Macaca mulatta: one gene and its partners. The protein of the gene in region 1 purifies or fractionates together with the protein of each later gene. This does not show direct contact. Links are inferred from orthologs where the notes say so. Each region holds a gene or a part of one and is shown on either strand. Other genes may lie near its edges.

Evidence for each region.
Region 2: the proteins of NFKBIA (region 1) and ARRB1 purify together in Homo sapiens (affinity purification with western blotting; 3 studies listed by BioGRID and IntAct, with this or other methods). This does not show direct contact. The link is inferred for Macaca mulatta from reciprocal best matches to the Homo sapiens genes NFKBIA and ARRB1.
Region 3: the proteins of NFKBIA (region 1) and TRIM22 purify together in Homo sapiens (affinity purification with western blotting; 3 studies listed by BioGRID). This does not show direct contact. The link is inferred for Macaca mulatta from reciprocal best matches to the Homo sapiens genes NFKBIA and TRIM22.
Region 4: the proteins of NFKBIA (region 1) and RPS3 purify together in Homo sapiens (affinity purification with western blotting; 4 studies listed by BioGRID and IntAct, with this or other methods). This does not show direct contact. The link is inferred for Macaca mulatta from reciprocal best matches to the Homo sapiens genes NFKBIA and RPS3.
Region 5: the proteins of NFKBIA (region 1) and CUL1 purify together in Homo sapiens (affinity purification with western blotting; 8 studies listed by BioGRID and IntAct, with this or other methods). This does not show direct contact. The link is inferred for Macaca mulatta from reciprocal best matches to the Homo sapiens genes NFKBIA and CUL1.
Region 6: the proteins of NFKBIA (region 1) and NFKB2 purify together in Homo sapiens (affinity purification with mass spectrometry; 6 studies listed by BioGRID and IntAct, counting the BioPlex papers as one, with this or other methods). This does not show direct contact. The link is inferred for Macaca mulatta from reciprocal best matches to the Homo sapiens genes NFKBIA and NFKB2.
Region 7: the proteins of NFKBIA (region 1) and PSMA4 purify together in Homo sapiens (affinity purification with western blotting; 3 studies listed by BioGRID and IntAct, with this or other methods). This does not show direct contact. The link is inferred for Macaca mulatta from reciprocal best matches to the Homo sapiens genes NFKBIA and PSMA4.

What each region holds. Positions count from the first base shown.
Region 1 is NC_133412.1:108,520,435-108,524,875, reverse strand, and holds the start of NFKBIA (NF-kappa-B inhibitor alpha), read left to right. Parts: upstream 1-1,487; 5' UTR 1,488-1,577; coding exon 1,578-1,804; intron 1,805-2,414; coding exon 2,415-2,523; intron 2,524-2,850; coding exon 2,851-3,061; intron 3,062-3,351; coding exon 3,352-3,440; intron 3,441-3,547; coding exon 3,548-3,817; intron 3,818-4,187; coding exon 4,188-4,235; 3' UTR 4,236-4,441. UniProt on the Homo sapiens protein: Inhibits the activity of dimeric NF-kappa-B/REL complexes by trapping REL (RELA/p65 and NFKB1/p50) dimers in the cytoplasm by masking their nuclear localization signals.
Region 2 is NC_133419.1:75,669,634-75,673,551, reverse strand, and holds part of ARRB1 (beta-arrestin-1), read left to right. Parts: intron 1-279; coding exon 280-339; intron 340-1,477; coding exon 1,478-1,545; intron 1,546-3,861; coding exon 3,862-3,918. UniProt on the Homo sapiens protein: Functions in regulating agonist-mediated G-protein coupled receptor (GPCR) signaling by mediating both receptor desensitization and resensitization processes.
Region 3 is NC_133419.1:69,874,964-69,879,489, forward strand, and holds the start of TRIM22 (E3 ubiquitin-protein ligase TRIM22), read right to left. Parts: upstream 3,022-4,526; coding exon 2,599-3,021; intron 2,010-2,598; coding exon 1,914-2,009; intron 950-1,913; coding exon 719-949; intron 1-718. UniProt on the Homo sapiens protein: Interferon-induced E3 ubiquitin ligase that plays important roles in innate and adaptive immunity.
Region 4 is NC_133419.1:75,815,440-75,820,040, forward strand, and holds the start of RPS3 (small ribosomal subunit protein uS3), read left to right. Parts: upstream 1-1,480; 5' UTR 1,481-1,510; coding exon 1,511-1,540; intron 1,541-2,403; exon of another isoform or gene 2,404-2,551; intron 2,552-2,703; coding exon 2,704-2,834; intron 2,835-3,649; coding exon 3,650-3,743; intron 3,744-4,293; coding exon of another isoform or gene 4,294-4,341; coding exon 4,342-4,436; intron 4,437-4,601. UniProt on the Homo sapiens protein: Component of the small ribosomal subunit. The ribosome is a large ribonucleoprotein complex responsible for the synthesis of proteins in the cell. Has endonuclease activity and plays a role in repair of damaged DNA.
Region 5 is NC_133408.1:188,608,797-188,612,714, reverse strand, and holds part of CUL1 (cullin-1), read right to left. Parts: intron 3,297-3,918; coding exon 3,220-3,296; intron 2,742-3,219; coding exon 2,610-2,741; intron 3-2,609; coding exon 1-2. UniProt on the Homo sapiens protein: Core component of multiple cullin-RING-based SCF (SKP1-CUL1-F-box protein) E3 ubiquitin-protein ligase complexes, which mediate the ubiquitination of proteins involved in cell cycle progression, signal transduction and transcription.
Region 6 is NC_133414.1:114,505,565-114,510,159, forward strand, and holds the start of NFKB2 (nuclear factor NF-kappa-B p100 subunit), read left to right. Parts: upstream 1-1,538; 5' UTR 1,539-2,047; exon of another isoform or gene 2,048-2,204; intron 2,205-3,056; exon of another isoform or gene 3,057-3,294; 5' UTR 3,295-3,366; coding exon 3,367-3,387; intron 3,388-3,658; coding exon 3,659-3,740; intron 3,741-3,856; coding exon 3,857-3,897; intron 3,898-4,136; coding exon 4,137-4,235; intron 4,236-4,311; coding exon 4,312-4,463; intron 4,464-4,595. UniProt on the Homo sapiens protein: NF-kappa-B is a pleiotropic transcription factor present in almost all cell types and is the endpoint of a series of signal transduction events that are initiated by a vast array of stimuli related to many biological processes such as inflammation, immunity, differentiation, cell growth, tumorigenesis and apoptosis.
Region 7 is NC_133412.1:56,691,463-56,695,091, forward strand, and holds part of PSMA4 (proteasome subunit alpha type-4), read left to right. Parts: intron 1-924; coding exon 925-1,002; intron 1,003-1,611; coding exon 1,612-1,700; intron 1,701-2,375; coding exon 2,376-2,506; intron 2,507-3,298; coding exon 3,299-3,422; intron 3,423-3,629. UniProt on the Homo sapiens protein: Component of the 20S core proteasome complex involved in the proteolytic degradation of most intracellular proteins. This complex plays numerous essential roles within the cell by associating with different regulatory particles.

The DNA of each region.
Region 1 (4,441 bases):
TAGGGGAAGGGTGGAGATTTGAAGAGAGGGGAAGGATTGGTTAGTACATGGCCAGTCAAGGTAAAGATGATTGCAATCATCACCAGAAATCTCTGCAGAACTACAGAGGGCTCCTGGGACTAATTCTGAAGAGCTCTGACCGAAGTGTGCTTTATTTTGCCTGTACCAATTCTACCAAGTAGATGAATTCAGTCCATGGCTTGCAGGCTTGGAGGTGGAGGTGGGATGGAGAGCATAAATTACATTTCTGCAGGTGAAACCAGAGCATAGTGAGCCAAAACCCCTTTCTACCTGGGTGGCATGAATGGGTCCAACTGCTACTATCCCCCAGGACGAGGGAGCAAGGCGGGGGGGGGGCAGGATGGGAGGATGGGGCTGCCTTGAGCCTCCTGCAGGATGACTGGCAACTACTTTCTTAGCGGTCCTTAAGGTCCAATCGCGGTTAAGGCACTAACTAAACTCATTCTTCAGCCTCCTTCTCTAAGTGCTCCTCGAATTGCTCAGTTTAGATGCCCAGAAGTAGGCTCAGGATCCATTCTCTGCGGCAGCACAATGTAGGTCAGATAGCATGAATGCAACAGCTACTTATGAACACAATAGCTACTCTGTTATTGCAAGGTATCCACAACCACCACTACAAAGATTAACACCTTGCTTTACTTGGGGGGAAAAAAAAAAATCATGGTCCTATTCAGCAGTTTCCCCATACAGGGAGAGTTTGCCCCTCCCCCACTCAACAAGGCTGTTCATCCCTAGGAAGTGATTGGAAGTGATTTGAGAGTTTTCCAAAGATTTAGGCTTTCCACTCCTCCAAAGCTTTCACAGTTCTACCTGGCAGAGGTGCGTGGGGGGTAGGGGAGGAAGGGCGCGAAGCTAAACGTCCCCGTTCTGCAATGAGCCTGATATTAGCAGAAACACAAGAGCGGCCTGCAGCCCCATAACCACAGTGCGTCCTTCCCCTTAGAAGTCTGGGGAAAGAAAATCCCTACGCCCAGCCATCATTTCCACTCTTGCGTTTTCAAAAGATCAAAAAACGGAAAGGACCGGCAGGTTGGCAAACCCCAAAGAGGGACCGCCCATCATGTCGGCGTCCTTGGGATCTCAGCAGCCGACGACCCCAATTCAAATCGATCGTGGGAAACCCCAGGGAAAGAAGGTTCACTTGCAGAGAGACAGGATTACAGGGTGCAGGCTGCAGGGAAGTACCGCGGGGAAGGGGGCCTGGTCGGAAGGACTTTCCAGCCACTTGGCACTCATCAAAAAGTTCCCTGTCCGTGACCCCAGTGGCTCATCGCAGGGAGTTTCTCCGACGAACCCCAGCTCAGGGTTTAGGCTTCTTTTTCCCCCTAGCAAAGGACGAAGCCAGTTCTCTTTTCTGGTCTGACTGGCTTGGAAATTCCCCGCGCCTGACCCCGCCCCAGAGAAATCCCCAGCCAGCGTTTATAGGGCGCCGCGGCGGCGCTGCAGAGCCCACACCAGCCCGTGCCGCCGTCCCGCCCGCCAGCGCCCTAGCGAGGAAGCAGCGCGCAGCCCGCGGCCCAGCGCACCCGCAGCAGCGCCCGCAGCTCGCCCGCGCCATGTTCCAGGCGGCCGAGCGCCCCCAGGAGTGGGCCATGGAGGGTCCCCGCGACGGGCTGAAGAAGGAACGACTGCTGGACGACCGCCACGACAGCGGCCTGGACTCCATGAAGGATGAGGAGTACGAGCAGATGGTCAAGGAGCTGCAGGAGATCCGCCTCGAGCCGCAGGAGGTGCCGCGCGGCGCGGAGCCCTGGAAGCAGCAGCTCACCGAGGACGGGGACTCGTAAGTGGCGCAGACCCGGAGCCGGGGGTCCTCGGGAGGGCCGGATGCGCGCGGCCGGGGAGTGGGAGACGCCGGGCCTGGAGCCCGACCTGGGGAACTAGCGATGCAGCCGGGCTGGCGCCGCGGCGCCCCGGGGCTCCTGCACCGCCCCGAACGCTGCAGGGCTGCAGGGCCGCGCGGGGCACCGGCCCGACTCGGAGGGGCGGCGGCTGGGCCCTGGTGGACGGCAGCGTCGCCACACGCCCCCTCCCCCCAGGCCTGTCCTCTAGGCCGGGGGCGGGGCGGCAGCTGGGACGCGAAGTCCCCGGTTGCATAAGGCGTTTCTGGCCGCTGGCGGGCGCCGAGCAGCCGGGAGGGGAAGTACAGGGCGTTCCGAGCTGGCGGGAGGGCGGGGCGGTCTGGCCGGCGCCCGCCGGGGCCGCGGGGGGAGGGGGGCGGAAAGTCCCTGGGCGCCTGCCAGGAACACTCAGCTCATAATAACCTCGCGGAAAACACCGCGGCCTCGGCCTCCAGAAACCCCGGCCTTGCGCAATCCCCCGCAGCCCGCGCCTCCCTGGGCCCCACGCGGTGCACTCACCACCCCTGGGGTTTTTCCCTCTCTTCCCCACAGGTTTCTGCACTTGGCCATCATCCATGAAGAAAAGGCACTGACCATGGAAGTGATCCGCCAGGTGAAGGGAGACCTGGCCTTCCTCAACTTCCAGAACAACCTGCAGCAGGTGCGCCGCTTGCCTGGCCCGGGCTCTCTAACTCTGGGATGGAACTGATGTAGCAAAGTCACCCCAGATCCTTTCTGAATTCAGGGCCACTGGGCATTATTCACCCTCACCTTTTACTTCACGTCAGCCCACATCCTAGAGAGTGAAGGAAATTCCACTGATTTGGTGAGGTCTTTGTGACCCACCTGGAGTCTCTGCTATTTGCCAGTCCTCCCCACCCGCCTGTCCAGGAGGAGCAGCACCCAACCAGGAGACACGGGTTCAGGGGAACTCAGGGTGTGGGTTTGGTCCCTGGCTTACTTTCTCTGGTCTCTCCTGCATTCGTAGACTCCACTCCACTTGGCTGTGATCACCAACCAGCCAGAAATTGCTGAGGCACTTCTGGGAGCTGGCTGTGATCCTGAGCTCCGAGACTTTCGAGGAAATACCCCCCTACACCTTGCCTGTGAGCAGGGCTGCTTGGCCAGCGTGGGAGTCCTGACTCAGTCCTGCACCACCCCGCACCTCCACTCCATCCTGAAGGCTACTAACTACAATGGTATGTCTGCCTCCCTGCCCTGCCCCACCCCCTCAGGTGGCAGGTGATGTGGAGAAGGGGCAGGTGGGCCAACTTAAGGAGTCGAGGCAAGAACTTAAACTGCCAGCATTTGAAAGGTTGAGAAAATACGTGTGCAAAGTGCCTGTTGGATGCCTTTATAAAGTTCCTTCAGAACCCAGACGGTGGGTTCTTAAAATTCAGAAGATATGACTATTTGTCCCATAAAAGAATAGGTGAAAGGAGTGAGGGTTGAAACAGGTGGTTATACTTTTTTCGTTTTGTTCTTCCAGGCCACACGTGTCTGCACTTAGCCTCTATCCATGGCTACCTGGGCATTGTGGAGCTTTTGGTGTCCTTGGGTGCTGATGTCAATGCTCAGGTTAGTGCTTCCTGCCTCCGATGCACTGAGTCAAGTTCCCCGTGCTCATGTTGTGAGCAGAAATTCCAAACGCAGCCATAAGCATCTCAAATTCCTTTTGGTTTCAGGAGCCCTGTAACGGCCGGACTGCCCTTCACCTCGCAGTGGACCTGCAGAATCCTGACCTGGTGTCGCTCCTGTTGAAGTGTGGGGCTGATGTCAACAGAGTTACCTACCAGGGCTATTCTCCCTACCAGCTCACCTGGGGCCGCCCAAGCACCCGGATACAGCAGCAGCTGGGCCAGCTGACACTGGAAAACCTTCAGATGCTGCCGGAGAGTGAGGATGAGGAGAGCTATGACACAGAGTCAGAGTTCACGGAGTTCACGGAGGATGAGGTGAGTCTGTGAACTCCTTGGGCTCTCTAACTAATGAGGGACCATTCCCTTCACCCTCCCGGGCCCCTAGAACTGCTCCTTATCAGAGGGGTATCTACATAATGAGTCTCTCAAATTTCTGTGCATAACCAGTATCCCAATAATGTACCTTTTTTTTTTTTTAAAATAGCTTACCCTTTTTTAAAGAAAAGCATTTTTTAAAACATTTTTAAAATGGGAGTTAAAGGCAAACTCCCTCAGCCTGTAAAGTTCATTGTATTTGGGCTATGGAGAATGGAGTCCAAGGGTTATTTCCAGTAGCGGCCTCCCCATCCCAGTGGCTTGGCAGAGCTTCGGAAGTTTAATGTGTCTTCTTTCCCCTTGTTTTCAGCTGCCCTATGACGACTGTGTGTTTGGAGGCCAGCGTCTGACATTATGAGCGCAAAGGGGCTGAAAGAACATGGACTTGTATATTTGTACAAAAAAAAGTTTTATTTTTCTAAAAAAAGAAAAAAGAAAAAAAATTTAAAGGGTGTACTTATAGCCACACTGCACACTGCCTGGCCCAAAACGTTTTATTGTAGTGGGATCAGCCCTCATTGTGTTGCTTTTGTGAACTTTTTGTAGAGGACAAGAAAGATCATT
Region 2 (3,918 bases), on another chromosome or scaffold:
GGTGTGGACATCTTTGGGGGACCATTATTCTGCCAACTACAGTAGACATCATAGAAAGATCTATTTAAACCATTGCTGTGAGAACTGGGCTAGGCCAAACTCTTTAGATAAAGAAAACTCAGACACTTGCGGGGCATGGGTTGGCATGGTCTGATGGGGTAGACATGGCCTGTCCCCTGGGGCCCTTGGTCTGATAGGTGTATGGGCGTGTCTGGGCTGCAAGACATGAGACAGGACAGTGGTGGATGTGATAGATGGCTCGTTCTGTCTTCTTGACAGATCCCTCCAAACCTTCCATGCTCTGTGACACTGCAGCCGGGGCCCGAAGACACAGGGAAGGTAGGTTACCCCAAGGGGACCATCTCTCTGGCTCCAGGACTCTCAGGTCCCCAGGTCCCTGGCTTTCTCCCTGGGAGGTGCTGGACACACAGAACCACTCTCCCTGTTGAACAGTGTTAGGCTAAGCTGGTCCCACCTTGGACAACCAGTCTCTCTTTAGACAGGGCAGCAGGTATGGGGTCAGCCTCACTCTCCCATTAAGTGATGGATCCAGAGGCCCTCCTGAGTGGCGTTGGTTGCAACAGGACCAAAGTGTTCTGAGGACCTACACCTGGCCTCACGTAACCCCTGGCAACCTTGAATCAAGGTGTGATCATCCCCATGTCACAGATGGGGAAACTGAGGCTTGGATAGAAGTGACACCACTAGCTGCAGACCTTTGAGCCCAGCTTCCTCATCTGCAAGATGGAGATGACAGCACGTGCCTCCTTGTCTTATTAGAGGGATACCGGAGAAGCCACCCAGGGCCAGGTCTGCACACAGTAGTAGTGGGTGCCCCCAGTCCGCTCAGGTACCTGTTGCTATTTCTGGGCAGCTGCCTAGATGAGGATGGCCACCCAGACTGAGGCAGGAGTCCAAAGAGCAGAGCCCTGTTTGGATGATTTGGGATGTCCCATGTCAGATGGAGGAGGCAGCACAGCACTGGGGCTGAGCACAAGGGCGTTCCCCTGCTTCTTCCAGACCGAGGAGGGCTGGGCTGTGGGAGCTTGGTGTTCCTGTCCAGTGTCCTCGCTTGTTTTTTTTTTTTTTTGTTTTTTTTTTTTTTTTTTTTTTTGAGACGGAGTCTCGCTCTGTCGCCCAGGCTGGAGTGCAGTGGCCGGATCTCAGCTCACTGCAAGCTCCGCCTCCCGGGTTCACGCCATTCTCCTGCCTCAGCCTCCCGAGTAGCTGGGACTACAGGCGCCCACAACCGCGCCCGGCTAATTTTTTGTATTTTTAGTAGAGACGGGGTTTCACCGTGGTCTCGATCTCCTGACCTTGTGATCCGCCCGCCTCGGCCTCCCAAAGTGCTGGGATTACAGGCGTGAGCCACCGCGCCCGGCTCAGTGTCCTCGCTTGTAAAATGAGAGGTAGGCTGGCTGTGTACTGGGGACCCTGCTTCTCCAAGGCCCTGTGGTCAGTGACCCCTTCCCCACAGGCTTGCGGTGTGGACTATGAAGTCAAAGCCTTCTGTGCGGAGAATTTGGAGGAGAAGATCCACAAGCGGTGAGTAGGATGCCAGGGTGTGGGCTGCCTGCTGGGTGAGGGAGGGAGACAGGATGGGCAAAGTCCAAGAGGAGATAAGTAACAATACCTGGAAGTGTGTGAGGAGGGGCGCACATTCCAGCCTTGGAAGGACACTCTGGAAGCTGGGAGGTCACGGAGGGCTTCCTGGGGGAGGTGGCTTTGACTGCCCAGGTTCAGGCTGCCGCATCTTCTCCTTCGCACCGTTGTGGAAGCTTCCTCCCTCATCTCCCTGCCTCTCATTTCATCCCCTCCAGACTGCATGTCTTTTTAATTTGTTTTGGAAAAATCCTAAATTCAGATTGTGTTAAACCGTGAGCAGGCTGTTTCCTGACCATCCCCATTTTCCAGTTTTCCTCTTGGGAGGAGTTCAGCAGGGGTTGAGTGTGTGTCAATGGCAGCTTCTAAGTGAGGAGGAAGTGGAGATAGTGAACCCATCCAGGGCAGAGTGACAGGGAGCTCGGCCCACATCCGAGAGGGGAAGCATTCTCTGGAGAAGCACAGCCTGGGCAGACAGAGAGCCCAGGCTGGCAGCCAGAAACAGCTGGCCCGGATGTCTCAGGCCTGCCCCTCCTGGGTCAGGCTGTGCTCTGCCTGCCTCCTGGAAGAGCTGGTGGGCCCTCAACGCTGATGTTCCTGCATCCAGAGGCACTGTTCCCAGAGGAGGTTGGCTGAGGGCACAGCAGCCTTTTTAGGGCATGGGCTGAGTTTGCCACCTGGTGGCTATAGGGTGTATTGCATACATTTGCATCTGCAGCCCTGCCTGTGTGTGGGGAGATGGGACTTTTCTCCCTTGCTTCTCTGTCTCCCTTTTCCTCTTAAGACCTGAGACAAGGGAAAAGGAAGGGTGCTGTGGGATGTGGGAGGAGGCTTAGCAAGCACAAGAAAGAGGAGGTGACATTGAGAGCCACCCCTCTCACCCTACCACCAATGGGACATTTAAAATCCACACCAAGGAGTTACTAATAATAATGATATAGAAACTATCATTTATCAAGGGCTGATTAGGTGTCAGGCACCATTCACAGTGCTGGGCTGTACGAACTAATTTAATCCTCATAGCAGCTCTAAGAATTAGGTCCTGGCTAGGCGCGGTGGCTCACGCCTGTAATCCCAGAGCTTTGGGAGGCCGAGGCGGGCAGATCACTTGAGGCCAGGAGTTCCAGACCAGCCTGGCCAACATGGTGAAACCCCATCTCTACTGAAAATACAAAAATTAGGCAGGTGTGGTGGCACATGCCTGTAATCCCAGTTGCTCGGAAGACTGAGGCAGGAGAATTGCTTGAACCTGGAAGGCAGAGGTTGTAGTGAGCTGAGATCGCGCCACTGCACTCCAGCTCGGGCAACAGAGTGAGACTCCACCTCAAAATAAATAAATAAATAAAATTTAAAAAGCAAAAAAAGAGATAGGTCCTTCTATCATCACCCTTTACAGATGAGGGAATGGAGGCAGAGAGGTTAATGTACCCAAGGCCACATAGTTAGCAAGAGGAGAGCTGGGAGTTTGACCCTGGCTCCTCCATTCCAGGCAATGGAAGCAGCTTATCTGAGCAATGGAGATGCAGCATTCCCAGCATGCCTCAGAGACGGCCTCACTGAGTCTCCCTCCCTCACCAGATCCTCATTTGCTCCCTGATCCCCTGTAACCTTCGTGGAGCCAGTCTCATCCATGGCCCTTCTCCCCTCCCTGGGCTTGTCCCCTTCACTGGCTTGCATCCCCCTGACTGAATCCACACCTCCTCCCTGAACCCCGACGCCTCCCCAAACCCCATTTCTTCTTGGGACCCCTGTCCCCTCTGCGTAGTTTTACATAATAGATATCTGGCATGTGTTTATTATATGGCACGCACAGTTATAGGTGCTGAGAGTACAGTTGTGAACACCTTAGACACAAATTTCTGTCCTTAAAGAGCTTACACAGTGTCCTGTGTCACCAAAAGAGATGACAGAGGGACACTATTTGTGTAAGGTGACATAGGGAGGCGGGAAGTGACATTGTTACCTATTTGGTGACATAGGGAAGCAGGAGGTGAAAATGTAGTCCCTGTTTCAGCCTCCTGCTGGGTACCAGGACCCAAATGAAGTGCGGCCACGGGGCACTTCTGGGATAGAACAGGGGAGGATGGAATGGAGCCAGATAGTGACAGACCCCTATGCTGATCTCTGCAGTTTGGCTGGATTCTAAGGCGTTGAAGAGCCATGCCAGTCTCTTGAGCAGGAGAATGATGTGAGGCTTGCAAGGAGAGGGGATGAAGGCAGGTGACCCTGGTCCTCTTTCACTCCATCCATCCCCATTAGGAATTCTGTGCGTCTGGTCATCCGGAAGGTTCAATATGCCCCAGAGAGGCCTGGCCC
Region 3 (4,526 bases), on another chromosome or scaffold:
ATTATACATAAACTTAACATATAACACTCTTAAAATCTACTCAAGATAAATGAAAACATGTTTGTATGAGGACATGTAAGTGAATGTTTACTGTAGCATTATTCATAATAGTCCCTAACTGGAAAATATTCATATAGCCACCAACTGGTGAATACACAAACATAACATGATTTATTCAGATAATGGAATAGTATTAGCAATAAGAAAGAGCAAAATGCTGATACATACTGCAATATAAATAAACCTCAAAATATTATGCTAAATTAAAGATGCCAGATGCAAAAGACTACATGTTGTATAATTCAGTTCATATTGAAATGTCCAGAGAAGCCAATTCTATACAGACAGAAAACAGATTGGTTGCCAGGAGGTGGAGGTAGAAGCAGATATTGACTGTAAACAGGCATGAGAAATGTTTTTGATGTGATGGGGAAGTTCTAAAACGAATTTGCTCATGGTACAAAGAATCTTCTCTCCAAGCTCAAATTTTTACACTGCCTCTCATAAGTAAATAATAAAGGGAATTTCCTTTGCCACTCATACACTTAATTATCTCTGTGACTCCTGAAATGATGGGCATAAAAGGGGCACTGCCAGGCCAAAGGAACCATTTAATGTCACCACACAGAAGAAAGCCTAGAGACTGGGAAGGGAAGGAAAATCAGCCTCTGTGTTTTTCCCCTAATCTCATATGTAGGTGCTCCATCCCAAGTCTTACCTGCAGCATCTCTATTGATGACCCCCTCAACCTCCGCTGGAGATCTGAGATGAGCTTGCTGGCATCCTGCCTCTGCTGGACCAGCTGGTCTCTAGCTGCTGCCAGGTTATCCAGCACATTCACCTCACCTTCCTCCAGCTTTTGCAGCTCTCTCTGCTCCTCACTGTCCAAGATGACTCTCATTTCATTGAACCCTTTCAGAATCTTCTGTCTCTCGAGCTGGATATAATTCTTGAATGAGAAGAGAAGAGAAAGAGGCAGTCAGTCTGGCTGGTTGAAGGCCTGCTTTGTATGAGCCTGGGAGCCAGGATAAGAACTGTTTTCCTCAGGGAGTTCTCAAAAGGAATACGAGGCAAAAGCCAATACACAATTTCTGGTGAAGCCATGCTTTTCTATTTTTTAACCGGAACTCCTTCCAAAGCAATACACTCAAGTCTTTTATTGAGGCCTAATCTGAGACAAAATGTGATGCTTGGGTGAGGCTTGGATTATAGACACCTGTCCTGAACAACCTTGCCTTTCTCTCTCTTAAATCCCTTTACCTGGTCGGGCACAGTGGTTCACGCCTGTAATCCCAGCACTTTGGGATGCAGAGGTGGGCGGATCATGAGGTCAGGAGATCAAGACCATCCTGGCTAGCATGGTGAAACCCCATCTCTACTGAAAATACAAAAAATTAGCCGGGTATGGTGGCACGTGCCTGTAGTCCCAGCTACTTGGGAGGCTGAGGCAGGAGAATCGCTTGACCTGGGAAGGCAGAGGTTGCAGTGAGCCGAGATCACTCCACTGCACTCCAGCCTAGATGACAAATCGAGACTCTTGTCTAAAAAAAAAAAAAAAAAAATTCCCCTACCCAAACCACCTAAACAGGGAATCCTGGGTCTTTCCTCAGGTTGTTTACTGGAAGGATTGGAGCCTCAAACTTGATGACACAAATGGAACACAGGATTCACAGGAAGCATTTTCACAGGTATTTCCCTCCATGCCTTCACTTCCAAATATTGTGTTGATTTATGATATGTCTGCTCTCCAGCCCCCAAACTCCAACAGGGAAGGAATTAAATGAGACCTAATCATATGACTTCTATAACTGTTAATTCTAGCACAGCAAAGGGGAAGTGGTCTCCTTGTGATAGAGCCCAAGGTCCTGCCCAGATTCCTGTCTAATTATCCCTTAGGAGGTGTCTCCTCCTGCCTTCCAGACGGTTCTCTCTTGTCTGACGTCATCTTCCAGCTTCTCAGCTTCTTGATCCTCCTTTGTCAGCTTCTGCAGGGCTGCCTGCAGCTTTTCCTGTGAGAAAGAAATTATACCAGAGTAAAGTTATGAGTTTTCTCAGCACCTGGATAGAGGATAGCAAGGAAGAAATTGGATGGCTCTCAGAAGGGACTAGTTTACAGAAACAGTGAGGCTGGTGATTAGAACCTATGGCATGGGGGAAAATCTGAGGAGATGAACGTATTCTTTATTACTGGATGATGGAAGTTACCATCCCCTTATCAAGAGTAGCCTGATTCTTTTCCTAGAGAAAAAGCAGACCCTGCATTAAGGAAAGACTTCCTTTCATTGCCACTTTTGCCACATCTAACAAGACATGTTCTCAAAAACACCTTTCTTCTCGGAGTGGCAATTAAAGCTTATCTTACAAAGCAATTCTCCATTCATTCAACTTTTCCTTGCTAAAAAATGTACTCTTTTAAATAAAAGCAATGTGCAGCACTGTCCTTCAGGCTTCAGAAACTAAGTAAAGAGTTTGGAAAGAGATCACAGGGCTCTCAGTTCTATGGTGAAAAGGGGAATAAAGCAGGACAAAAAACGTGGAGATTTCACATCAGGTACCATTTCTGCTCTCTGCTTTCTCTTCCTCTACCTTGGAGCCTACCTGACATTCCTTGACCACCTCGTTTATGCGGAATGTTTGGTGACCTTGGTGTTCCTGAGACAGTTCACAAACCCAGCAAATGACTTTTCCATCTTCCTTACAGAAGATCTGGAGTTTTTTTCCATGGTGCTCACAGATGTCTCTCTTCTGCCCCTCCTGTGGGCTCATCTTGACCTCCTTGACTCTCTCAACTATGTTGGCCAGATGCCGATTAGGTCGGAGCTTCCCAGGCTGGAATCTGCTCTGACACACAGGACAGCTGCTTTCTCCTCTTGAGATGGTCACTGACTCCTTGATCTTTGCAGTGATGCAGGCTTGGCAGAAGCTGTGGCCACAATCCAGGCTCAGAGGTTCTGTTAGGAGCTCCAGGCAGATGGGGCAGGTCACCTCCTTCTCTATGTCTACCTTTACTGAGAAATCCATTGCACTGCTCCCTTGGCTTCTTTCTGTCTTGACTCTTGAACCTCTTGGTCAGAAAATCCTGCAGTGCTGGAAATGTTGAAGGGGACATGGTAAGAAAAGCGGGAATAGAAAGAATACTGCTTTTACAGAGATTTAGAACAGGACCAAAAATTAATATTTAACAGAGAAAGGAGAAAAGAAAGGCAAGAAGAATAAACCAATGACAGAATAAAATGGACTTTGTAGTAATTTGAAACAGTTTATTCTTAATTTTTGTCTCAGGACAAATTTCACCCCATCAAGGCAATTATTGTTATTTTCTCTTCTACTGGAGAGGACAAACTGAAGCTTTTCTACCAAGAGGTTCGTGTAACCCATCATTTATCCTGCCTTTTGTTCCCCAACCCAAAACACATTTTCCATGTTAAATGCACTAAGCACACCGCTGCCCCTGGGCTTTCGCACATGCTTTTCTCTCTGGATGACGTGATTGTATCTCTAATATTTGCATGATTCACTAATACTTGTGTATTTTTAAGCTACTGAGTTGTATTTACATAGCATCATACACTCTCATTTTTAAGTGTATAATGTGATAATTTCTACTAAATTTGTGGAACTATATGACTGTTACTGTAACACAATTTAAAATTATTTTTACCACCTGAAAAAAAAAAAAAAAAACCCTAATGCCGTTACTCCTATTCTGATCCCAAGCTCCAGACAATCACTAATATCCTTTGGGTTTTTAATCAATTGATAAAAATAGAATCATAATATATGGTCTTTGGTATCTGAATTATTTTATTTATACTGTTAAGGTTTATCTCCTCTGCTTTTTCCACATGTAAAAAACACCTCCTCAATTAAACTATCAAATCTATGACTCCTCAAGGCTTTTGCACTTGCTCCTCTCTCTCCATAAAATGATCCTTCCCCTGATGTTAGCAAGAGTCATTCTTAAATTTAATTCAATCTCTTAGATGTCCTCTTCTTAGAAGGACATACTATAACTTACTTATAGCAAAACCACCAGTAATATCACTCACTGCACATTTATTTTCTTATTTTTACTATGTAATATATAAGATTGTTCTTTAAATGTCTACTTCTTCCTCCTGAAAAGTAATCCATTCATAGACATGGGACTGTTTTTGTTCACTGATATGTCCTCTATACATAGAAGAGCGAATCACATACAGGAATAAAATGTTGAACGAATATTTAAAGCTACAACTTTCTTATCCCTCCATAGATGATTAGACCTTTGAATCAGATTTTCATCTTTTCTTTCCATCAATTAGCAGTTTCCCAATAGCTGAGCTTTGGGACCATGATTATGGTTTCCAGTGAAGAAGAGTTCACATCCTAACACATCTACCCATAGCAAGTCCTCCCATGACCTCACACTCACTCCCCAAAGACATACACACACACCCACACACCACTGCAACCACCACCACCGCCACCATCACAATAAGAAAATAATTTTATCATGAAGAATTTTATAACCAGTTACAATTTGG
Region 4 (4,601 bases), on another chromosome or scaffold:
GGCTCATGCCTGTAATCCCAGCACTCTGGGAGGGTGAGGCAGGTGGATCACTTGAGGTCAGGAGTTCAAGACCAGCCTGGCCAACGTGGTGAAACTTCATTTCTACTAAAAATACAAAAATTAGCCGGGTTTGGTGGTGTGCACCTGTAATCCCAGCTACTCAGGAGGCCAAGGCAGAAGAATCGCTTGAACCTGGGAGGTGGAGGTTGCAGGGAGCTGAGATCGTACTACTGCGCTCCAGCTTGGGCAACGGGAGAGAAAAGAAAGAAAGGAGAGAAAGAGAGAGAAAGGAGGGAAGGAGGGAAGGAAGGAGGGAAGGAAGGAAGGAAGAGAGGGAGGGTGGGCGGGCACACGAGCCACTCTCTGGGACTTCTGTTACAAATTGTAATGGACTTGATGAAAGTAAGGTGGAGTAAATGAAAACAACATAAAGGGCACAGAACACAGTCCCTAGGACACTTAGTAAATATCAGGTTTTATTATCATTTGGAATGGAGGAAATGGGCACAGACTGGGGACATTCTTTTTTTTTTTTTTTTTTTTTTTTTTTTTGAGACAGAGCCTCACTCTGTCGCCCAGGCTAGAGTGCAGTGGTGGGATCTCCGCCCACTGCAACCTCCACCTCCCGGGTCCAAGCAATCCTCCCACCTCAGCCTCCTGAGTAGCTGGGATTACAGGTGCCTGCCACCACGCCCAGCTACTTTTTCTATTTTTAGTAGAGACGGGGTTTCACCATGTTCGCCAGGCTAGTCTTTAACTCCTGACCTCAAGTAATCCGCCCGCCTTGGCCTCCCAAAGAGGAGTCTTAAATGAATTTCACTGAGGGATTTCAGCAGATTTTCATTACAATATCCACCCTGAAAGTGTAGGGGCCAGAGTTCCACGCTGGTTAAACTCTGTTGCTGTGTGAACTTATACCTGTAATTTCCACCTCTGCACCTCGCATTGCTTGTTTTTAAACTATGAGAATTGAACTCGCGGCCGGGCGCGGTGGCTCAAGCCTGTAATCCCAGCACTTTGGGAGGCCGAGACAAGCGGATCACGAGGTCGAGAAATCGAGACCATCCTGGCTAACACGGTGAAACCCTGTCTCTATTAAAAAATACAAAAAACTAGCCGGGAGAGGTGGCGGGCGCCTGTAGTCCCAGCTACTCCGAAGGCTGAGGCAGGAGAATGGCGTAAACCCGGGAGGCGGAGCTTGCAGTGAGCTGAGATCCGGCCACTGCACTCCAGCCTGGGCGACAGAGCAAGACTCCGTCTCAAAAAAAAAAAAAAAAGAGAATTGAACTCTAAGATCCTCTGAAGTCTAGCAGTCCTGCTGGTCGAACCCCCTTTACTGTTCCTGCCTACACTCTTCCTTCCCTTGACGCCTTCTTTACGTAAAAACTACATTTCCCATGAGCACCCATAGGCGTCCACGTAGCGCAGCCCTCCGCCGTCGCTCGCGCCCTTTATACTCACTTCCGCCCGCCCGCCACTTCTTTTTCTTTCGGCGGAGCGCGGCGGCAAGATGGCCGTGCAAATTTCCAAGAAGAGGAAGGTGAGCCTCTGGGGACTGGGTTCGGGGAACGACTGCGCCGCGAGGGTCAGGGGCTTCTCGGGTGCCACCGCGAGGCCTGCAGCTCCGTGCCCTGCCCTGGGAAGCGGCTTAGGCTTCCTGGCATTCCCACGGGCCGCGGATGGCGGTGGATTGAGTGAGAGGCCCGAGCCAGGCGGGCGCTGTGTGGCCGGGTAAGGGAGAGACAGGTTTTTCTCTGGTTCCGAGTGAAGCGCAGAGAGATGGGGACCAGGCGCCCCTTCTGTCCCGGAGAAGGCGTTTGTGAGCATTTTTTGGTCAATGGAATTAGTAAACGTGGTATTTTGAGGGCGTGTGTCATTTCCCTCATGTCTTATCCCATGGTTTTGGGAAGGGGAGGCAGCAGTGTATACTTGTCTTCTTACTGGTCGAGTCTGGGTACAGTCTGCTGGTCCCACGACCTCAACATGAAGGGTTACTGACGATTGCTTGCTCCGTCTGAGGACCCCGGGAGGAAGCTGCCTCGGATTTAACGCTTTGTTATTCCATGGGAAAGAACTGTGTAAAAATCATTAGCTTTAAAAATAGACAGTTTGTCATTTCGTATACCTACACTTCGATGTTAAAATTAAATCCACAACTCTTGTGAGTTAGGATTTTCCAGCTCTGTTTACAGTTAAAACCACAGGTACCGTAAGGCCAGATAACATGGCTGGGATTCTTTAGACGGTCCAGGTTGTGTCTGCAAGTGAGAGAGCTTATGTTAAGTCCACTATCTATTCTGTTCCTTCACAGTGACAAGTACAGTGTCTTTGCTGTGCTGAGTGAGGTGTAAATAGGCTATTTTAGAGCAGTTTCTTGTTTTGCATGTGGAACTGTTTTAAACCCTTCGATGAAGAGATGATGACGAGTCTGACTTGGGGGTGTTGCCTTCGCCCAGGTTGCCTACTCTGTGCTGCATTCTGTGGCACAGTTTAAAGGGCCCTGGTTGAAGTAACTTCCTAAAGATGACCTAGAGGCATTTGTCTGAGAAGGGTTGCTGCACTCCTGTTGGAACAAGGGTTTGGAACCATTGGTTGGAGGTATTTAGTTTTGGGGAGGGATGCATTGACTAATAAGACACTGGCTCAGGCGAAAGTGAGCCTACACCGATGTCCTAATTTTGAACTTCGCTTTTTTTGGATTAGTTTGTCGCTGATGGCATCTTCAAAGCTGAACTGAATGAGTTTCTTACTCGGGAGCTGGCTGAAGATGGCTACTCTGGAGTTGAGGTGCGAGTTACACCAACCAGGACAGAAATCATTATCTTAGCCACCAGGTAAAACTCACTTGACTGGCCATCACCTATAATTGTTGTAAATGCTAAGTTGGTTTATTCCTTTTTTTGTGTGTGTGAGACAGAGTCTTGCTCTGTCCCGAAGGCTGGAGTGCAGTGGTGAGATCTCTGCTCACTGCAAGCTCCGCCTCCCAGCTTCCTGCCATTCTCCTGCCTCAGCCTCCTGAGTAGCTGGGACTACAGGGGCCAACCACCATGCCCGGCTAATTTTTTGTATTTTTAGTAGATTCGGGGTTTCACTGTGTTAGCCAGGATGGTCTCAATCTCCTGACCTCGGGATCCGCCCACCTCAGCCTCCCAAAGTGCTGGGATTACAGGCATGAGCCACCGCGCCTGGCTGGTTTGTCCTTTGTGAACTTAAGGGGATAGACAGCCAGTGAGTCTGGGCTTAGTGAATGTAATTGCTTCTTAAAAGCTGGATTTTAAGGCCAGGCATAGGATCGCTTGAGCTCAGGAGTTCAAGACCAGCCTGGGCAACATGCGGAAACCCCCTCTCTAAAAAAGATAAGGTTGTGGTGGTGCACACCTGTGGTCCCAGCTATTCCAGAGGCTGAAGCAGGCGATGGCTTGAGCCCAAGAGGTCCAGGCTGCAGTGAGCCATTGGTGTGATCCAGCCTGGGTGACAGAGAGAGACCCTGTCTCAAAAAAAGCTGCATTTTGAAAATTTAACTTTAGTTTTTGTCAATGAAAATTATATGCTTTGTGGCAGAGATTTTGCTACCACATATATATTGCAAGATTTAAAGTTAAATCTAGCATTTGTGAGAGTCATGAATTGTCACTTTTTCCCCGCCCAGAACACAGAATGTTCTTGGTGAGAAGGGCCGGCGGATTCGGGAACTGACTGCTGTAGTTCAGAAGAGGTTTGGCTTTCCAGAGGGCAGTGTAGAGGTGAGTGATTCTGGCGTATGCCAGAGATAATGGCTCTTCAGAATGATAACTTCTAAAAACTGGGAGACTTTGTTCATTACAAATGGACTGATACAACTTTGTTGAAATTCTCTTAATGAATAATGGGCTTAACTTTGTAAGCCTGTTCTGCTAATGGTTGATAGTTAAAGGATTTTACATTCAACTTGGGTATAGAAATGATGCATATGATGGATTGACTGTCCCCATTGGTGTAGTTGGTATGGCCAAAGGAGCCAGGGTGGGAGGGCAAGGAACCTGCACTGTGTGTAGGTGGTAGAAGTGCTTTAGGAATTGAGGGATACTGAAATTATATGCTGTTTGTGATGGTGTTGTGCAGTCTTTTGGCCTCCGTAGGCCACGTTGGAAGAATTATCTTGGGCCACACTACTGGTAGTGCAAAAAATCACGATGTTCAATTTTTGTTGGGCCACAATCAAAGCCATCTCCTGGGCAGCATGCGACCTCTGGGTTGGGCAAGCTTGGTCTAGAAAGTGATGCTTGTGTGACATGCCAAATTTTCAACTTTCAGTTGAAAACAGTGGTGATGGTAACAGGATGTCCCTTCCTTCCTTTAAAGCTTTATGCTGAAAAGGTGGCCACTAGAGGTCTGTGTGCCATTGCCCAGGCAGAGTCTCTGCGTTACAAACTCCTAGGAGGGCTTGCTGTGCGGAGGTAAGTGTCCTGAGACCTAATAATGGTCATGACCTTTTGTGTGTATCAAAATATATGTCTCCTGTTTGTTGATTAGCAGATGAACTGTTATAAAGTGACAGGATCTGCTAGTCTCCCAGGATTATAGTAAGATACTAAACCATGCCCTCACTGAATTGGCAGACT
Region 5 (3,918 bases), on another chromosome or scaffold:
GCCTTTGAGGCCCCCCATAGAAAAGAAAAAGAAGGAAAACTTAAATGCATGGAAACACCTCCAAAAATACATGGCCTAAGTTTGAAGAACTTATTTATGAAACACATTCTTTAAACAAGTACAAACAAAGCGCAGATCTATTTAAAAGGGAATATAAAACGTGGCAATGCCACCACAATGCGACATCTTCCCAAAGTCATTCATCTTCCATGTTTTCAAACATTAAAATAATTTGAAGTTTTTTCAAAAAATGTATTGTCTATGTGGATATATACTATAGATACGTATGTCCCCACTCGTTTTATAGCGAAAATCACATATACACACACCTGGTATATGTGGACATGTTAAGCATCAACCTCCAAATCTGTTTTTGGCACATGAGCTAAGAAGTATTATCTTTTGGCACATTCTTGATGTAAAACAACACAAATATCAAATTATATTTGGTTTTCTAATCCTAAGTACTTTACTATGAAAGTAGGAAAAAAGTAAGTAAAGTATGAAATGGCAAGTGCACTAAAGGTTTTCTTTTTTTGAGACAAAGTCTTGCTCTGTCACCCAGGCTGGAGTACAGTGGCACAATCTCAGCTCATTGCAACCTCTGCCTCCCAGGTTCAAGGGATTCTCCTGCCTCAGCCTCCCGAGTAGCTGGGACTATAGGCGAGCACCACCACGCCCAGCTAATTTTTGTATTTTTAGTAGAGATGGGGTTTCACCATGCTGGCCAGACTGGTCTCGAATCCCTGACCTTGTGATCTGCCCGCCTCGGCCTCCCAAAGTGCTAGGATTACAGGCTGAGCCACTGTGCCCGGCCCTAAAGTATCTTCTAAAAGACAGGTAGCACGCGTTGGTTCCTGATTGCTGAGAGTGTGCGAGCGAATGAATGCCCCTGAAGACTCCTTCCTCTCTTCTCCCTCTTTCCTTGCATAATCGACAGCAACAAGTAATGACCCATGACTGTCAGCCACTGCTCGCCCAGCCAAGACCTCAGTCAATGAAAAGAGAAACAAACAAAAAATGCCACATGCCCGTTTCAGGGGGGCCCACAGACAACAGTGCTTCCAGGGCCTTGAACAGAGACGCAAGGGAATGAGTGTGTTGCTAATGTCTTCTACTGGGCCCGCTCTTGGCTGCCTTAACATGGCAGACACACCCTAGGCAAAGCCTCCGCCTTGTCAAAAACTGGACACTGAAATTCCAGGTACTATAGTCGAACACATGGATTCTTCTACGAATATTTAGGGATAAATGAAACAAAATTTCAATTATATAGTAAGAAACATTCAACTTGATAAAGACCTCTGGAGCCAGCGTAACAATACTATGCATTTTAACAATTTTAAGTCAGAGTAGATTTATGAAAAGTTTAAATTAATGAGCAGCTTGAGCCTGCAGAACAACCCATTCTGAAGTTTCTTAATACTTAAACATAGACTTGTAGTTGTTCTCAGAAGTTTATTGGTGAAACCTTCTCAGAGACTAAATTATGCCATTACTTGTGAAGCCCACTCTGTACAAAAGTGGAAGTAGAGGCCGGGCGCGGTGGCTCAAGCCTGTAATCCCAGCACTTTGGGAGGCCGAGGCGGGCGGATCACGAGGTCAGGAGATCGAGACCATCCTGGCTAACACGGTGAAACCCTGTCTCTACTAAAAATACAAAAAGAAATTAGCTGGGCGTGGTGGCGGGCGCCTGTAGTCCCAGCTACTCCGGAGGCTGAGGCAGGAGAATGGCGTGAACCTGGGAGGCAGAGCTTGCAGTGAGCCGAGATCGCGCCACTGCACTCCAGTCTGGGCGACAGAGCGAGACTCTGTCTCAAAAAAAAAAAAAAAAAAAAAAAAAAAAAAAGTGGAAGTAGAAAGAGCCTGGAGTTTTTTTTTCTTTTTACTTTAAAAAATTTATAGAGATGGGGTCTTGCTGTGTTGTCCAGGCTTGTCTCAAACTTCTAGCCTCAAGCGATTCTCTGGCCTCAGCCTCCCAAAGTGTTAGGATTACCAGCATGAGCCACCACATCAGCCAAGCCTGAACTTTAAGAGAAAAGACTTTAACTGAAATTTTGGCTCAGCTACAGATAAGCTAGGATTCAGAGAAATTCACTTCAATTAACCCAAGCCTCAGTTTTCTCACCTACAAAATGGAAATATTCTTAGTTACACAGTTATAAACTAGGTTATACTCAATATCGTTGTAAGCACTGTTGTTAATGTGACTGCTTTGTCAAAGGTGGAGAGCTGTTATAATTAAATGCACGCAACTCCAGCGTTTTAAGTCACTACCTGAACACTTGATGTGTGTCCGGCAGGAGCCGTGCCAAACACTTAACTAAATACGTTATTTAACTTTCACATCAATTCCCAAGTATAAGCACTAACATCCCATGAATGGAGGAGAAAACTGAGGCTCACAATCATTAAATAACTTGTTCCCCAGCCAGAAAGAATTGGAATTTGGCTCCTCTGATTCTTACAACTCCATGCTTTAAACTTGCCACTATTTCACCAGAAGCTGAATTCTAGATTCTGCTGCTGAGTCAACTGCTAATGATTTCTATAATTTACCTTATGCTCATTTAGAACAGAAACATTTTAAGACACAAACGTGATCTTACCTGCAAAGTATATCTGTTTTTGAAGCAGTTAGTTACCAATTCTCCTTTAGACAACTGATATAACCACGTCAATTTTCGGCCACTGTGGCGGCTGGCGTAGAAAGCTGTGAATCGCTGATAACTACGTTCCAACTAGATAAAAGGACAGCATTATATGGAATACAGATCTCACCACGTCCTACAGGCAGTGTTTCTAAGCAAAGCACACTGTTCCAAGCCTACAGTACAAAGTCAGTGCTTATATAAAAGTAAAATACGAACGCCAGGTGTCTGCCTCTCTTGCAAAGCGCTTTAAGCACTGGAAGGTACGATCTTAAAAAAGGTTCATACTTCAAGACCAGCATCGTCAAGGTGTTCATTACACAACGAATTAGGCTCTAATTACAATAAAGAAACGTGTGTGTGTAGAGTTGGGCCAGCCAGCCCACCTTTAGACATCCAGACCTGCCCCACCGCACAGGGCTCTTCCCTGAGTGCTGCCTCACGGTTCACTGTGACGCAGCCAGCCGGCAGGAAGGCCGTCTGCAGGCCTATCCCCTTCCACAGCGAAGGCTGCCCCGCCCCACCCTCCACCTAGCACTAAGGGGACGGCAGATAAACCCATCCTTACCTCTGACGGCAAGGCGAACGTACAAGACTGCTGGAAGGGCCAGGACCCGGAGCTCAGCACTTGAATGCTGAAGTCCACTGGGGGGCGGAAGAGAGGGGAGAGTGAACATTCTGGAATACATTAATTTGTTTATAAATTGAAAAATTCAATCATTTCAGATGAATGTAGGTTGCTCTTTATTAAAAAGCACATTAAATAAAAATCCTGCTTGAATATAAAATTAAGAATTGAACATTTTATTCAATTAAAATTAGCAAAAAGCGCAAGAGCCAGATATTCTTTTCTTCCAAAGAGTGACAGTCTTCATTTCGCTTCCACCTCGGAATTCTGCTGTCACATGCCTGCCCTGCTTCCCTTGCTTTCCTTTTCAGTCCTGAATCACTGAGTCCACTCAAGCCACGCCTGGGCTCGCCAGGCCCGGCATCATCACAGCCCCAGACTCATGGAAACTTACAAGCAGGAGAAAACTGCTAACTTCACTACAGTATGTGTTTCAGTTATTACTGTGAAAAGACACACATGGTCTATAAATTATAACACTAATTTCATCTTCACAGATAGTTACAAAGCCCACTGGCAAAACTGTCCAGGTTTACAATGGAATCGTTATCCTGATTTGGGAAAAATAAAACTCTCCATTTTTCCTTTAAAAAGACAAAGATGATCAAAAGATGACGTAAGCATAAATCTGCCATTCTA
Region 6 (4,595 bases), on another chromosome or scaffold:
AGAAATGTAGTAGACAACATATCTGGATTTCAGCAAATTGTTTGGCAGAATCTTACGATATTTGTTTGAGAGGCCCACAGTAAGGTGGAAAGGGCTGCTTTGTTTTATATAAATTTAGGGGAAAGAGCTTCATCCTGGAGTCAACAGATTGGGTTTGAATCCTGGCTCTGCCCCTTCCTAGCTGTGTGTTTGGTTACTCCACCTCTCTGAGCCTTGATTTCTTCATCAGTAAAGGTAATATTCACCTCCTAGGGTTGTTGGGAGGGAGAATGAGAACTTCTAAAGTACTCGAACCTAGTGCCTGGGACACTATATTTGCAGGCAAGATGAAGGGGGGTGGGGAAGTAATAGGAAACAGACAGCCCAAATCGAGAGCCATAATAGTCTCTCTTAGTGCCAGTGCAGGCCTGTGATTCTGTTCTTAAAAACGTCTGGGGCAAGCTGCAGGAAAGATCCCAGATAGCCTATGTTCTACCATAAGCCTAAGGGAGGAGGACTCCAGGCATGGAGATTACTCATGGCACCTGCTAAGGAGAAACGCTACTGACCAGAGAGAGGTCCACTCATGTACTCGATACTTGGTGAATTCCTGTCCTGACCTCACTGCCTCTAGAAGTGTTCAGATGGAAACTGGAAGGTCTATAAGAGGCAATTTGGCAGGACACAGTGGCTCACGTCTGTAATCCAAGCATTTTGGAAGGCCAAAGTAGGAGGACCACTTAAGCCCAGGAGTTTAAGACCAGCCTAGGCAACGTAGTGAGATCCATCTCCACTAAAAATTTAAAAATTTGCCAGGTGTGGTGGTGTGCACCTGTAGTCCCAGCTACTCAGGAGAGTGAGAGAATCAGTGCACCCCGGAGTTCGAGGTTGCAGTGAGCCATGATCGCGCCACTGTACTCCAGGCCTGGGTGACAGAGCGAGACACTGTCTCAAAAACATAAATAAATGAAATAGGCCGTGTGCGGTGGCTCACGACTGTAATCCCAACGTTTCGGAAGGCGGAGGCCAGCGGATCACCTGAGGACATGAGTTCGAGACTAGCCTGACCAACATGGTGAAATCCCAACTCTACTAAAAATACATAAATTAGCCGGGCTTGGTGGTGGGCACTGTAATCCCAGATACTCGGGAGGCTGCGGCAGGAGAATGGTTTGAATCCAAGAGGCGGAGGTTGCAGTGAGCCAAAAGCGCCTCACTGCATTCCAGTCTGAGACTAAAAAAAAAGAGGCGATTTCCCACATCGGTGGAAATTTGAGCTGTTTAAACTCTGGATGCCTTTTTCAGTTCTAATATTCCAGATCTCCGTGGTGGATAAACACTTAATTTCCCTTCTCCTGCGCAGAGCTCCTGAGTCCTGGCCCGCTGGGAACCTATCACTTCTATAAAAGTCCGAGGTCCGGACTGTCTCTCCCGGAACCCTGAGGCTGATGAGACAAAGCGAGACAGGGGCCTGGGCCAAATGGAGTCTCCTTGCGGCCTCATGAAGGCCGCCAGAGGGCGCCCGGGACCGACCGCAAAAGCAACTTCCTTCCTCTTCCGCTAACTTCCCGGCAGCCCGCCGCTCAGGGTGGGGGCCCCGAGGGCTGGGGCCGTCGGCTTCCCCCTGGGGTTCCCCCGCTTCGGAGAAAGTCAAGCATTAGGCGCAGCCAAAGCCGAGCTGCAGCGGAAGCTCCCGGCCCAAGGTGGCGCTGGGTCAGCGGGTACCTTCTCGGCGGTCCCCTAGCCGGCCGAACTAGTGGCCTGTCGCCCCGCTGGTGGCCTGTCGCGCCTGGTGGCCTGTCGCCCCGCTCCCTACCCTGAGTGAGCCTGTCCCCTCTCAGGGGCGCGCCCGAGTCGCTCCGGGTTGGCTGCGCCAGTCCAGAGTTAAACTTTCAGCCAATGAAAAAGGGCGCGAGGCGTGACGCACGGAAACGTCATGGGAATTCCCCCCTCCGGGGGGCCGAGAAGGGGCTTTCCCGGCCCCAAGCCCTGCTGGCCGGCGAGGTGTCGCGACCGGTCCCAGGTGGGTCGGGCGCGGAGAGAAGCCGCAACCAGAGCCGCCGCCACGGTGAGTGGCTGGATTCAGACCCCTGGGTGGCCGGGACAAGAGAAGAGCGGGAGGAGGGCCTTTAGCGGACAGCGCCGGGGGCTGGAGAGCAGCAGCGGCGCGCAGGCAACGACACTCAGATCCACGTCGACATCCTTGTACAAAGACACACGGACCCGTACGTACACCTGTACCTGTGCTGGCGCACACACGGCAGCGTCCGTGCAGTCGCACTCGCACACACATGCACACGGAGACGTGCCCACCGGTGCACTGGTGCCTGCACCCACACCCTTCACGCACAAACTCAAGATACGCTCACCCGTGTCTGTACATCAAGACAGGCGCTGACACACACCCACACTGAGAAGCTCAGGACTCACCTGTCTACACACATGCTCGCTTGCACACTCATGTTGACGCCATGGACACACAACATGCACCCAAGCACTAGAGCCGAAACACACTTGTGGAGCTGTGATGGAGACACACGCTTGTATTGGGTGGGGAGCGTGCAGAGGTCTCCCTGTCGCCTGCGTGCCCAGAGCCGGTGCGGTGTGGAACCAGCTGCTGTTGCGAGGTTTGGGAAAAAGAGGAGCCGGAGGAGAAGACACTTTTCCCGCGGCCCCAGAATCGTGTTCTCGGGGCAGAACCCCGGGGCCTCCCACAGGAAAGAGCCCCCGCCTACAGGCTGTTCGAAGGGGAGGCCATCAGACAGCAGGAACGTCCCCCCAAAAGCCCCCGGGTTTATCAGCCGTGGCCTCCCTCCTGGCAGAAATTCCCAAGGTTGCTCCAGACCGGGGGAGGGGAGCGGGAGGCGGACTTGGCTCCAGACTGCCAACCTCCCCACGGCCGTGAGGGACCCTCCTGTTCCCTGCCCTGGAGGGAGGAGGGGGCTTAACCCCCACCGCGGCTCCCCTGACTCTCCTCTCCCTCTACCCGCTGAAAAGCAGCGGGAACCCGTAGACTGGCGAGGGCCTCCCGCCCCTCCCGTCGTGAGGGCGGTGCCACTGGCGTCATTTCCAGGCCCGCCCCCTCCGGCCCCGCCTCCCCTTGGTATTTTCGGGACTTTCCTAAGCTGCTCTAACTTTCCTGCCCCTTCCCCGGCCAAGCCCAACTCCGGATCTCGCTCTCCACCGGATCTCACCCGCCACACCCGGACGGGCGGCTGGAGGAGGTCGGACCGTCCCCCAAATCTGGGCCCCCATCTCCCGCCCACCCCCATTTAGATCTGACCCCCTCCCCCACGCCACTCCTCCCAACTTTAGGCGGGCGCCTAAAATTCTGGGAAGCAGAACCTGGCCGGAGCCACTAGACAGAGCCGGGCCTAGCCCAGAGACATGGAGAGTTGCTACAACCCAGTGAGTCACGCTGCCTGCCCCTGACCCGGCCGGCCGCCCCCCGTGTCTGTCCACCTGTCTGCCCGAGCCCCCTCTGCTGCCACACACCTGCATGCTCGCAGATGCTCTCAGCCTACCAGTCTGTCCATCTGTCTACAACTCTGCCTCCAAAAGGAGCTTTCTCTTGGGCCTGAGGAGGAGGGGGAGTGACCACTGAGGACTTGGAGATGGGAGGTGGGGCCGTGGGGGGCGCTGAGAGTTGGATGCCACCCCCAGTCTGTCTCCAAACCAGGGTCTGGATGGCATTATTGAATATGATGATTTCAAATTGAACTCCTCCATTATGGAACCCAAGGAGCCAGCCCCAGAGACAGGTCAGTAAGTTCACTAACCTCCTCTAGTCCTAAAGGTAGGGGGAGGGAGAGCATGTGCCTTCTGCCTGGGGGAAGGGCTGGGAGATAGTGGCTAAGCAAGGTCTCCCTGTCCCCAGCTGATGGCCCCTACCTGGTGATCGTGGAACAGCCTAAGCAGGTGAGTAAGCAAAAGGGAGGGTGTGGAATGGCTTCAGCTTTGGGGACAAATGGGGTAGTGGTAGCTGGCAGGCCATGGAGGAGCCATTGCCCAAGGAGGCCACAGGGGATTGGATGGTCACTGCTGCTGATCAGAGTGCTGTAGTTGTGGTTCAGAGCAGATACTACCAGGCACTGTGGTCACTGCTGGCCGGGGTGGTCTTCCCTGATCATAATGCTACTCTGCCCTTGGACCTTCAGAGAGGCTTCCGATTTCGATATGGCTGTGAAGGCCCCTCCCACGGAGGACTGCCCGGTGCCTCCAGTGAGAAGGGCCGAAAGACCTATCCCACTGTCAAGGTGAGCCAGGATGGTGCTGGAGGGTTGGCTAAGTGGACAGCACGCCCAAGGCCCTGACAGTCCCTGCCTCTCCTAGATTTGTAACTACGAGGGACCAGCCAAGATCGAGGTAGACCTGGTAACACACAGTGACCCACCTCGTGCTCATGCCCACAGTCTGGTGGGCAAGCAATGCTCGGAGCTGGGGATCTGCGCCGTTTCTGTGGGGCCCAAGGACATGACTGCCCAGTAGGTGCCCTCTACCCCTGGCCCCCACTGATATGCCCCTCACTCTCTGCCAGTCCTAAGCCCCAGCCCACCTCCATGAGCTTAGCATCTGACCAAGGGGAGAGAGGTAGGTTGGCCCCAAACCCAAGGGCC
Region 7 (3,629 bases), about 52 Mb from region 1:
CAGGGCCTTTGGATACACTTGTCCAAAGTGGTGTCACCCCTCCACAGAGCCTCTGTTGGGCTCACCCAACAGCTGGCACACTTGGCTAGGCATAGTCACAGGGTGAGTCTCAGCTATAAGAGAGCCAGGGCAGCCCTCAGGAAATGGTCCAAAAAAAATGAAATGCACCTCGAGTAGGAGCCTAGCCCTGTACTTCCTAAGCAGGCTTGTAAACCCTCCTGCCACTGTCCCCCGTCACCTCCATCAAGCCAGGCCTTAGGAAATGAATACTACTCAAGAGCAATCTGTCTAGCAAAATCTTTTTTTTTTTTTTTTTTTTGAGACAGATTCTTGCTTTGTCACCCAGTCTGGAGTACAGTGACGCCATCTCGGCTCGCTGCAACTTCTGCCTCCCAGGCTCAAGTGATCCTCCCACCTCAGCCTCCCAAGTAGCTGGGACTATAGGTGCGCACCACCACACCCAGTTAGTTTTTGTATTTTTTGTTGAGATGGGATTTCGCCACATTGCCCAGGCTAGTCTTAATCTCCTGGGCTCAAACCCTCCATCTACTTCGGCCTCCCAAAGTGCTGGAATTACAGGCATGAGCCATTGTGACGAGCCTGTCTTTGTATTCTCTGTTGCTAAATCTTCTTGAGATTTACTTTAGCTTCCTGGCGTTAATCCTGTTACCCTATTCACAGGGTGGTAATGATAAATACATCTATTAACGAACTTAAGGGTGCATTTATTTATCTTTCATGTTGAATGACATCAAGTAAACGTCTCCTACAAAGATAAGACTTTTATAGGTTTCTTCTGAAGGAAGTAGCTGCTGTGAAGCAAACGTAGTGAATTGCTAATATAATTCTGTGCTTTTTAATATTTATAAATGCTCCTTGCAGGCATCTTCCCTGCTTACAGATCAATATCTTTTTTTCTTCAAGGGACATGGCTTGCAGTGTGGCAGGCATAACTTCTGATGCTAATGTTCTGACTAATGAACTAAGGCTCATTGCTCAAAGGTATGGTCATATATAGCATAACTGATGATACAGAAATTAGTTTTGATGTTTCTTTTTTTGAGATGGAGTCTCACTCTGTTGCCCAGGCTGGAGTGAAGTGGCGCCACCTTGGCTCACTGCAACCTCTACCTCCCGGGTTCATGCCATTCTCCTGCCTCAGCCTCCCAAGTAGCTGGGACTACAGGCGTGTGCCACCACACCCGGTTAATTTTTGTATTTTTAGTAGAGACGGGGTTTCACTGTGTTAGCCAGGATGGTTTCGATCTCCTGACCTCATGATCCACCCACCTCGGCCTCCCAAAGTGCTGGGATTACAGGCATGAGCCATTGCGGCTGGCCTAGTTTTGACGTTTCTAAGGAGAGCTCACTTTTGCAAAGATTAAAGTCATTAAAAATCTTTGAATTGAAAATTACAGATTTTTTTCAACCAAACTTACAAAATGTTACTTACTATGAGAATATTCGGATATTGACTTGTTCCCTCCCCTTCAAATTGCAAATGACTGTTAGGTTGTCCCCATGGCATGGATTGCTTTTCAGAGAATATTTTCCTTAGAGTCTGTCTGTGTTTTGGAGAAAACTACTAATATGCCAATCTCTTTATCCTAGGTATTTATTGCAGTATCAGGAGCCGATACCTTGTGAGCAGTTGGTTACAGCACTATGTGATATCAAGCAAGCATATACACAATTTGGTGGTACTTAATTTTTTTGAAAATGTTATTCCAAAAAGTTAAGACATTTTATGAGTTATAACCCTTTTGAGGTAGTAAAAAATTGAAAATAGACCCTTTGTTTTAAATTGAATTTAATTTTTTTAATTGACAAATAAGAATTGTACATATTCGTTGGGTACATAATGATGTTTCGGTACACATAATGATCAGATCAGGGTAAATGGCACATTAATCATCTCAAACACTTCTTTGTGTTGGGAGCCTTCCATATCCTTCTAACTATTTGAAACTAATGTGTTACAGTTAACCATATTAATCCTACAGTGGCGTAAAACACTAGAATTTCATACATTCTTGCTTCATGAATGAATGTGTTCCTCCGCCATGTAGATTACCCTAGTTTTATTAATAGGATATTGAAAGTCCAAAACAACATTTTCAGATCTGGAAACTAACTGCTGTTTACATAATGAAATTCAGTACTGGTCCTTTCTCTGTTCCCTCTCCTGGCTGTGTCCAAATCATAGAAACAAGTGGAATTTGTAATGGAGCTTATCTCTGGTAGCCAGAATACAGAACAGTTTATGAATGCTTAAGTTCACAGAGAAAGGTTTAGCTACATTCACTGAGCTCAAGTAACTATAGTGATACTAAATTTAGATTATTGATATATTTGGCTTTTTTTCTTTGTTAAAGGAAAACGTCCATTTGGTGTTTCATTGCTGTACATTGGTTGGGATAAGCACTATGGCTTTCAGCTCTATCAGAGTGACCCAAGTGGAAATTACGGGGGATGGAAGGCCACATGCATTGGAAATAATAGCGCTGTGAGTATTTTTGTTGTGCTGTGAAATCTAGCAGAACGTCTAATAGATGCCATAATTTTGCCGTGGTGATGAATGTAAACAGTATTTAAAGATAGCTGCCACAGCCTTAATGTGATATGGAAATATCTGTGATTTCTGTTGGGGACAGAGTTGCTGGTATAGCTAATACACTGGGGTTCGTTAACTACATTAATAAATGCTAATTTTCAGTTAGGAGTTGTGAAATTAGAAGTTGTGATTTTGTTTCACATCCTAGTTTACAGACCCCTTGAATTCTATGACAGACCCATTGGGAGACTGAGGACCTCAGGTTAAAGACACACTATATAGAGCATCAGTACCACCTCTTCTCACCCTGTGCCATGTGTGCCCTCCCTGTCATCAAAATTATTTATATGGGCCAGGCATGGTGGCTCATGCCTGTAATCCCAGGCCGAGGCAGGCAAATTGCTTGAGCCCAGCAGTTTGAGACCAGCCTGGGGAACATAGCAGAACCCCATCTCTACAAAAAGTACAAAAATTAGCTGGGCACCATGGCATGTGCCTATAATCCTAGCTACCCAGGAGGCCAAGGTGGGAGGAGGAGCACCTGAGCCGGGGGGACTTGAGGATACAGTAAGCTGAGATCATGCTACTGCACTCCAGTCTGGGCAACAGAGTGAGCCTGTGTCAAAAAAAAAAATTGTTTATACTTGTAATGCCAATAGTAATTCAGGCATTTTTCTTCTAGACCAATTCATGTTTCTAAAAAATGTAAAAACTTAAAATTCTGTGTTGATTCATGTTTTATAGGCAGCTGTGTCAATGTTGAAACAAGACTACAAAGAAGGAGAAATGACCTTGAAGTCAGCACTTGCTTTAGCTATCAAAGTACTAAATAAGACCATGGATGTTAGTAAACTCTCCGCTGAAAAAGGTAATCCATATCCTCTGCTTTAATGATTTCAGCTGAGCAAGGGGAATTAGCAGCTGTTAAGTTTTTTGTTTTTTTTTTTAAATATGGAGTATTGCTCTGTCACCAGGCTGGAGTACAGTGGCACAATCTTGGCTCACTACAACCTCTGCCTTCTGGGTTCAAGTGATTCTTCTGCCTCAGCCTTCCATGTAGCTGGGACTACAGGCT